2 linked regions of the Arabidopsis thaliana genome follow. The protein of the gene in region 1 purifies or fractionates together with the protein of each later gene. This does not show direct contact. Each region holds a gene or a part of one and is shown in the gene's direction. Other genes may lie near its edges.

Region 1 (6,081 bases):
GATTTGGTGGTAGCAAGACCAACACGAGTCACATCTTAGCATTATATATTCGGGATTACGATTCTTTGATATGGCTCTAGAGATCATAGCTAGTAGTACAAAGACACACAAGACTGTATGTTTTTTGGTGGGACACAAAACAGATGGGTTAGGATTAAAGTTACTACTTTAATTTGTTCATGAAATTGGTCGGGACTCTTCTTTTCAGTACCCTTATATTCCATTGACTACTTTCATTTCTTCTTATGATCAATGCGTTACTCAAGGGTTTTCCCACTCAAAACTTAGAACATACAAATTCTGTGGTGCTAATTAATTAAGTTACAGTCCGTGGCGTTTTGTTTTTAATTATATGGTAAAAATAAAGTTTTGGAAGTTTTATTGCTGATTAGGTGTTTCCCAAGGATCGCAATAACCAATAATGAGTTATTACTTTAGTAGTAATAATTTCATAATGAACAGTTGAACACCGAAGATATGAGCCAATAGAGTGTGAGATTTGGGACACCGAAGTAACAAGAGCACAAGTTGCTGTCTGTTTCCGACACACCATGCCCATACTTATACTACTATTTCTTTTTTCAATTACTTATTACGTTGCCTTCTTCTTCGTGACCTCTTAGTCGCTCGAATAAAATTTAATTTATCCTTTCCTATTCTCACGGTTTTTATCTGCCTTTATTCACGGTTTTGTTTTTCAAATTGTGGTCATCTTTTATTATTCAAAATATGTATAAAAGGATCATACAAACCATATGCAATGAAAACGGTAAATCCAGACTAAACTTTTCTAAAAAATCAAATTAAACACTATATATATTGACTAAAACATTAATATTCAACCAGAAAAAGATTCTTACAAGGGTAATTAAACAAATTAAACAGTATGTATTGACTAAAACATTAATACTCAACCAGAAAAGATTCGATCTATACTTGTTCTAACATTGTATATAATTGATTATCCGCAAAATTTGTTCCACATCCATTTACTCTGCTCAAAGGATGCAATAGTACAAAAAAATTACTCCTCTATTATAAATATTCGCATATCTACATCTATATAAGAAATGATTCGTGCAATTCCACTTCACCGGCCACATGTATGTAAGAAAAAAGAACAAAAATAAAATAAAGATCGTTAAGGAATTTAGAATGGTGTGACATCTCGTACAAGCCAAGTTAATTTGTTTACCTGTCAAGTGGGAAACAAAAAGTTCTGTTAGAAAAAAAGAAAACTAATTGCAAAACAGATTGCTTCAGATATAAACCAACATTTTTCTTTCTTACGATGAAAACCTAACATAATAAAACGAAATTCAAGTAACTAATTATATGATTAACAAAGTCGAATTATAATCAAATCTATTTAACTGCACATAAAAAAGTCTCTTAAGAACCAGGACCCACATAGTGACAACTGTCTTCCAACACTTTCTAACCATTTACATATCCAAAATGGCAGGTTAGTTCACTCATCAAATCTCTCAACTTGTCTTCTCCTCAAATTAAATGTAAATTTAAATATAAAACCAATTCTTTATATCTAAATATGTTTGGTTTCGAAATATTCATATATATTAAAGAAAAATGATATTTCCTTGATAGAGTAAAGAAAATTCACGAAGAGAGCTCTACTCATTATCTTTATCATACCATTATCATTGCCTCTCTATATAAACATAACACGCAAACTTCACTCTCACAAGTCTTTCATCACATTTCCATTTTTCTCTCTTCCATAAAACCCAAAAGAAACTAGGAAGAGGAGTAAATAATATTTGTTTTAAAGAAATGATTCTCCACAAAATGGCGTTCTTGGCCGTTATTCTCTTCTTCTTGATAAGCAGCAGCAGCGTTTGCGTTCATAGCCGTGAAACGTTTGCTTGCGATACAAAGGACGCAGCAACAGCTACACTGAGATTCTGCCAGCTTTCAGTTCCTATACCGGAGAGAGTCAGAGATTTGATCGGACGGTTGACATTGGCCGAGAAAGTGAGCTTGTTAGGGAACACTGCGGCGGCGATACCACGTCTAGGAATCAAAGGGTACGAGTGGTGGTCGGAGGCTTTACACGGCGTTTCAAATGTGGGACCCGGTACTAAGTTCGGTGGGGTTTACCCTGCAGCCACCAGTTTCCCTCAAGTCATCACCACCGTTGCTTCTTTCAATGCCTCCTTGTGGGAATCCATCGGACGGGTCAGATTATTTCTTTCTCTCTCTTTTATCCATTAAGTTAAAAACACCTATTTCAATTATTTTTGTGTGTGCCCCCGATCTAACTACTAAATACTTTTCACTATTTTCTCTGTGAAAATGACGTAAGTAATAATGTTAATTATATATATATACAGCTCACATTTATTATGTATTTAATTACCTCTAGTGCGATTTATATGTAAAACACTTTTACTGTATCGAAATATTCTCTTTTATCGGAACTAATATTCGTTTTTTGTTTTTTATTTTTAAAATAACTTATATACAATTGTGATATTTCGACACTTCTCATGTTCTGATTTTGTCCGGTACTTCATGCAAATAAACATACGCACGAATCTCTTATTAGCCTACCGCTATTGAAAGTAACTTTTCTTAAATAAAACTAATTTATTTAAAGTAACTTACATTCTGCTCTTGGTTTCGTTTTTATGCCATCTCCAATTTACGACAAAGATCTGATTCTAACAATTTTTAACTAATTTGAATACTTAATGATATTTATAGTTAATCAGATAACATATTAAAAAATAACACTGCTCTATTTTAATATTTATTAAAAAGGTGAAATGAATATGAACTTATCGTACGCTTTTCGCTAAAATCGAGGCAAGCCGCAAGTTGCATACGATGCTCTCAACTTGCAACATTAGTCATGCGCATTTTATCATTAACAATTAACCACGACTAAGTTACGCTCTTGGGGATTCGCAGGTTGTGTCAAATGAGGCCAGGGCCATGTACAACGGTGGAGTTGGTGGGCTTACGTATTGGAGCCCAAACGTTAACATATTGAGGGACCCACGTTGGGGACGTGGACAGGAAACTCCCGGTGAAGATCCAGTAGTAGCCGGTAAATACGCAGCGAGCTACGTCAGAGGGTTACAGGGAAACGACCGTAGCCGGTTAAAAGTAGCTGCTTGTTGCAAACATTTCACAGCTTACGATCTCGATAACTGGAACGGCGTCGACAGATTCCATTTCAACGCTAAGGTTTAATTTAATCTTTTATTCTTTGTCTTGCTTCAACTTCTTTCTTTGTTCTCACGTGTTTGGTTTTGATAGGTAAGCAAGCAAGACATAGAAGACACGTTCGACGTACCGTTCCGTATGTGTGTTAAAGAAGGTAACGTTGCGAGCATTATGTGTTCGTACAATCAAGTTAATGGTGTTCCTACATGTGCTGATCCTAATCTCCTCAAGAAGACCATACGCAATCAATGGGGTCTCAACGGGTAAGATCACGCCACGTCAGCTCAAAACATTCCGTATATGTAATTTAGAATTTCGTTGACCGTTGATTTTTTTTTTTTTCTGCAAACAGGTATATCGTGTCTGATTGTGACTCTGTCGGTGTTTTGTACGATACCCAACATTACACTGGTACTCCTGAAGAAGCTGCCGCTGATTCCATCAAAGCTGGTAAATAAAATTATTGATTTTTAGTAGAAAATTAAAATTGAATATTTTTCCTTAAACTAACCAATCTTGTGTGTTGATTGTGTAGGCTTGGATTTAGATTGTGGGCCATTTCTAGGAGCCCATACAATCGATGCGGTGAAGAAAAACTTGTTGCGTGAGTCCGATGTTGATAATGCCTTAATCAACACGCTAACAGTCCAAATGAGACTAGGAATGTTTGATGGCGATATAGCGGCTCAACCGTACGGACACCTTGGACCGGCACACGTGTGTACACCGGTTCACAAAGGACTAGCTCTCGAAGCAGCTCAACAAGGAATCGTCCTACTCAAAAATCACGGCTCGTCTCTACCTCTCTCAAGCCAACGTCACCGAACTGTCGCCGTAATTGGACCTAATTCAGACGCTACGGTCACAATGATTGGTAATTATGCAGGGGTTGCTTGTGGATATACCAGTCCGGTTCAAGGTATTACCGGTTATGCTCGAACCATTCATCAAAAGGGTTGCGTGGACGTACACTGCATGGATGATAGATTGTTCGATGCCGCGGTTGAAGCGGCTCGTGGAGCTGATGCGACGGTTCTTGTGATGGGTTTGGATCAGTCTATTGAAGCGGAGTTCAAGGACAGAAACAGTTTGCTTTTGCCTGGGAAACAACAAGAGCTTGTCTCTAGAGTTGCTAAGGCCGCTAAAGGCCCAGTTATCTTAGTATTGATGTCTGGTGGGCCTATCGATATATCTTTTGCTGAGAAGGATCGGAAAATTCCAGCGATTGTTTGGGCCGGGTATCCGGGTCAAGAAGGTGGTACCGCAATCGCCGATATCTTATTCGGCAGTGCTAATCCCGGAGGAAAGCTTCCGATGACTTGGTATCCGCAAGATTATTTAACCAATTTACCAATGACAGAAATGTCGATGCGGCCGGTCCATTCGAAGCGGATCCCGGGTCGGACTTACCGGTTCTACGACGGTCCAGTTGTTTACCCGTTCGGGCATGGTTTGAGTTACACGCGCTTTACTCACAACATAGCCGACGCGCCAAAAGTGATTCCTATAGCTGTTCGTGGAAGAAACGGCACCGTTTCAGGGAAATCAATCCGTGTGACGCACGCTAGGTGTGATCGTCTCTCTCTCGGAGTCCACGTGGAAGTTACTAACGTTGGCTCGAGAGATGGGACGCACACAATGCTTGTGTTCTCGGCTCCGCCGGGTGGAGAATGGGCTCCGAAGAAACAGCTGGTTGCTTTTGAGAGAGTACACGTGGCGGTTGGGGAGAAGAAGCGTGTGCAGGTGAATATACACGTGTGTAAGTATTTAAGTGTAGTGGACCGAGCCGGGAACCGAAGGATTCCGATCGGTGATCATGGGATTCATATTGGAGATGAGAGTCATACGGTGTCGCTTCAAGCTTCTACTCTTGGAGTCATCAAGTCTTGACTCTGTTTTTTTCTTTTCACTTTTCTTGTTGTTCCCAAAATATTTTTAAGAGATTTTAATGTTTCTAACGAAACGAATTTGAAAAAGGAAATACAAAACTAGAAGAAAATCTGTTTCTTATAATTCAAAAGATGTATTTAAAATTGAATTGTATGGCCTCGGATTTTTTAAAATAAAGGTTGTTTTCGGAATTCTTTTCTTGTTCATTAACAATGTAAAGCACAAATACAAAAGTAGAAGAAAATTTTCAACTAGTTTATGGATGTGTAACATATTCTCCTCTCTTTTTTTTCTATCTACTTCTATATGTTCCTCTTATTACTATTTTAACACCATTCAAACCTTTAATTTACATGGATCCTATTCCTATGTATATTGTACACACATATAATCTACTTAGATTTAATTTTTGAAAAATGTATTAGTTGGATCTATGTATTGCAGATTCTGTGGACTACTCTACGGAAATATATACACAAGTATATGATAATACAAACACTTTTGCTAATTATGTCTAAAGATTGTCATTAATCTTCTTAGAGTATGATGAAAGAAATCTATAAAAAATACAAATGAGCCTTGTGTTTTTGTCAACATACACATGTGCATTCATTGATAGACATTTGGTAAATCCAAAAGCAAAGTGCATTAATTTAAACAGAACTTTTAACAAAAACAAAAACAAGTAACGCTAGTCTACGACGGGGCAATAAACAAATAGTAGAAAACACGAGTCTTTTTGGCTTCGAGAGAAAGACTTTGTTTTTTCTTGCATAAACGTTACGATAATTTCAAATTGTCAATCCTACTTTTAAGTAGAATTTGTAATCACTCAATGGTCGTCAATACATTGTCCACATTCGACCTATTGAAGGAAGATTAATTTAGCTATAAGCTTTCAAGGGCAAATCCGTCAGTCTAGCTTTCTTTTATCTACCTCTGTTATCAAAAGCCCTCTCGTATTTAAGATGATTGACTTCACATGATTTTCAACTCTCT
Region 2 (3,884 bases), on another chromosome or scaffold:
GTTGTCGTGACCGATGAAAAGAAACAAAACCAGAGGAAACAGAAGAAGTTGGGTCGATCTAAGAAGGAGAAGCACAGTTCTGTTCCTCTGTTAGCTTCTCCTAGTCCATCTTCAGATCAACGTATGTCCTTCCTCTGTCTATTAGCTCATTCGATTTCACTTTCGTGCTCTAATAATTGCTCAATGATTTGTGTAATTCAGCTCAAGATGTTTGTCAAGGTGATTTAGAGCGGATTAGAGAGAATATAAGCGATTTGATTATGTGGAGAGATGTTGCGAAATCAACACTTTGGTTTGGTTTTGGCTGTATATGTTTCCTATCTACTTGCTTTGCTGCTAAAGGATTTAACTTTAGGTAACATTGATTTCTCTGTCAAGGTTTATCTTTCTAGCTTTAATCATTTTTCACATTCATGAGTTGATAATGAAACTTTGTGTGGTTTGAAGTGTTTTCTCAGCGATCTCCTATCTTGGACTTTTGTTTCTTGGGGTATCGTTCTTGTCAAATACTCTTCGCCAAAGGTACAAACTTTTAAGGTCCCAGTACATAAATATCAGCTTGAACTGCAGTTGACTGAAGTTTTGATCCATTTGTTACCATAAAGGGTTACTGAAGAAGCGCGGAGAGAGCTTAAATTGAGTGAAGATGATGTATTACGAATAGCTAGACGAATGCTTCCCATCACCAATTTAGCAATTTCAAAGACGAGTGAGCTTTTCTCTGGTGAACCAGCAATGACACTCAAAGTAGAATTTACAAAACTTTGCCATTCTCATAAAACTTCTCTCCAATGAATGTGACTCTCACGTTGATTTTGTCCTTCTTACACTGTTTTTACTTTGATTTCAGGTGGCACCTTTTGTTCTAATGGGAGCTGAGTATGGTTACCTCATAACATTGTGGAGATTATGTGCTTTTGGTATGATTGTTGAAACACTATATGTCAACATTACTCCAAAGAAAGCTAAACTGTTTTCTTTAGTTGTATCTAGTAGAATTGACACAGAGTATGCATTGTTTCTTTAAACAGGTTTCTTCCTTAGCTTCACTATTCCAAAGCTATATTCATGTTACGCAAGTCAGCTTAACCAAAAAGGTAAACTCTATTAACAGACTGCGTAGCTCTTTGATGGTTCCAATGATTGACACTAAGGATTCTTTGATCTTTGCTTATGTGTAGTTGAGTGTGCACAAAGGAGATTTGTTGAAGCTTGGGGAGTTTGCACACACAAGAAATTCGTAGCAGGCTCTGCAGTTACTGCATTCTGGAATCTAACTTCTCTCAAGACCCGTTTTATTGCAGTGTTTATCATAGTAGTAGTAATCAGATACAGACGACAGAATCTACAGTTAGATTCCGAGGATGAGGAGGAGAAGAAGCAACAAGAAAAAACTCACCCGGAGCAACAAAAATCGCCGGAGGATAAGTCAACTTCACCGCGGTCAGCAGAAGAAGAGCAAGCGTTGGTGCTAGTTGCAGAAACCAAAGCACCAAAGAAGCTTTATTAGTCTAGTCACTAGTGTCTTTTCAGTATCCACCTGTGTAATAATATTTCACATTTACGTAATAATAAATAAAGAGCAGTCATTAATATCAAATAATAAATTGACACGTGACAAGCTCATGAAACTGTGAGAAGCAGGTGATAAAAACTCTCGTCCGTCTTGGGAGAGAGCACATCGTCGTCTTTTCTTTATAAACCCTAAATTCCCATTTCTCTTCTCCAAAAGTTTTATCGATTCCACCAAATTAGGGCGAACGCGAAATCTGGGTATTGTAATTTGAAGCGATGGCGACGACTGGAACTGCTGCGGTTGCGACGGGAACTTCGACGGTGAAGAGAAAACCGGTGTTTGTGAAGGTGGAACAGCTAAAGCCTGGAACGACTGGTCACACGTTGACTGTTAAAGTCATTGAGGCTAATATCGTGGTTCCTGTTACCCGGAAGACTCGTCCAGCGAGTTCTCTGAGTCGTCCTTCTCAGCCTAGTCGAATCGTTGAGTGTCTCATCGGTGACGAAACTGGGTGTATCCTCTTCACTGCTCGTAACGATCAAGGTTATTGTTTCTCCACTTTTCTCTTGCTTTATGGATATAGAAATGGTGTCTTCGTAGTTTATTAGAGTGATAAGTCTTATCCTTTGTTGTTCTCTCGTTTGTCTTAATCAATTTCTATTTTGAGCAAATGGTAAATGTGTTTCTATTAGTACTATTTGGTAAATGATGTATCAGTTATTGTATGTGTATTTAGTGATGTCTTTGTGAAATTGAAGCTTGAAAGAATCTTGGCCTTGAGGGTCTGTAACTCTGTATAGTCTTACCTATAGTGATGATGAAACTTGCTTGGTTAGATGTTGAGTTATGTTCAATTGAATGGTCTACATTATCCCAAAACTTTCATAGCTTTTCATAATGTGAAGTTTTGTTATACCAGTTTTCGTGCAATTGATGTGGCTACTGATTAGCTCTAATGATGTTATTGGTTTTTTTTGTGTGTGTGTGTGTGTGTATAGTTGATCTTATGAAGCCGGGTGCTACGGTGATACTGCGCAATTCAAGGATAGACATGTTCAAGGGTACAATGAGGCTAGGAGTTGATAAATGGGGACGCATCGAAGCCACTGGAGCCGCGTCTTTCACTGTCAAGGAGGATAACAATCTGTCTCTCGTTGAGTATGAACTGATCAATGTTGGTGGTGATCAGTGATCTTTTAGTATGTTTATGGAGGTTAACCCCTGAGAGTGTTGGGTTCTGATTTTTCTACCGTGAAGGTCTTTGATTTAGATGATGAAGATTGTATGACTGGTCCAGAGTTGCTTGTAGGAATATGCTTCTTCTTTTTTACCCTAAAATATGCGGTCATGATCTTGCTCTGGAGAACTATTGAGCCTGCGGTAATGGCGTAATGCAATTGTTCCTTTTAATTTGTGTTGATGTAAGTTAAAGACCATTGAGAGCTTGCTTGTGCACTATCTAATACAGTAAAAATAAGTTTTTCTTTCTTAAACTTTACTAATGTCTTTGTTTTTTCATTAATTACTATTTGATGTACACTATTGTACCCTCTCGGTTACAGAGAGTTTTGCCCAACTTTTTACATCGAAAGCATCTCATCCTTGATTAATGTCATTGTTAAGACAAATTGTAAGTGCATAAAATTCATCGACGGATCATAGAACCATTGTCTAGTTAAGTCGGTCTAATTCCAAACTTTATAAATCTTTGAAATCAGAATGTTACTTTGAAGATCAGCTTTGTAACACCAAAAACGAATAGTTAATGAACACAATACGTAGTGAAGAGAAAAAAGAAAACGAAATGGGTAATAACTTAATGGCATAAAGAAAGGCTTACAACACAGCAAAAATGTTCATGTTCCTAATCTTACCCTCACTATACCAATACAATCCTCTCCACGTATCATCATCCTTGAAAGGAACAAACGGAGAAAGAGTAGAGTCACTCCACTTCTTTGATGATCTTTCTTTTGCGCAGAGGTGCTGTGACCACTGTTCCTGGAGCACTGTGAGCTTTCCTTCGTGCTTCTTTTCTTCTCTTCGAATCGTTCACAGTTCGAATGATACCCATCGCTTTGTATATTGGTTTTGGCAAGTGCCTGTGTCTGTAATTCACAATAACCAAAACGTTACCATGTTACTATAGTTATCTTTTGACAATCTCCAGAGTTAAAGCATGGGATAAAACCACAGTTTTCATTGGTCATTTACCTCACAATGCGCTTAACCTCAGAAAGATGCTTGTACCGGTTCTTCACAGCCTCGTTGTACTCATGCTTCTTTTGTTCCCTTGGAAGAATCTGCAGCACAACACACCAATTAACATTGACAATTCACCGTTCCAAGTTAAAACTTCTTAAGAAAG

The links.
Region 2: the proteins of BXL2 (region 1) and AT4G28440 fractionate together in Arabidopsis thaliana (co-fractionation; one large-scale study listed by BioGRID). This does not show direct contact.

The regions. Positions count from the first base shown.
Region 1 is NC_003070.9:562,499-568,579, forward strand, and holds BXL2 (beta-xylosidase 2), read left to right. Parts: upstream 1-1,519; 5' UTR 1,520-1,794; coding exon 1,795-2,199; intron 2,200-2,934; coding exon 2,935-3,213; intron 3,214-3,285; coding exon 3,286-3,455; intron 3,456-3,544; coding exon 3,545-3,642; intron 3,643-3,727; coding exon 3,728-5,082; 3' UTR 5,083-5,273; downstream 5,274-6,081.
Region 2 is NC_003075.7:14,058,263-14,062,146, forward strand, and holds AT4G28440 (Nucleic acid-binding, OB-fold-like protein), read left to right. Parts: upstream 1-1,633; 5' UTR 1,634-1,791; coding exon 1,792-2,059; intron 2,060-2,514; coding exon 2,515-2,708; 3' UTR 2,709-3,124; downstream 3,125-3,884. Other genes in the region: AT4G28430 (Reticulon family protein), read left to right, coding at 1-121, 202-355, 448-522, 606-747, 851-920, 1,032-1,097, 1,182-1,510; AT4G28450 (WD repeat and SOF domain-containing protein 1), read right to left, coding at 3,462-3,624, 3,731-3,819.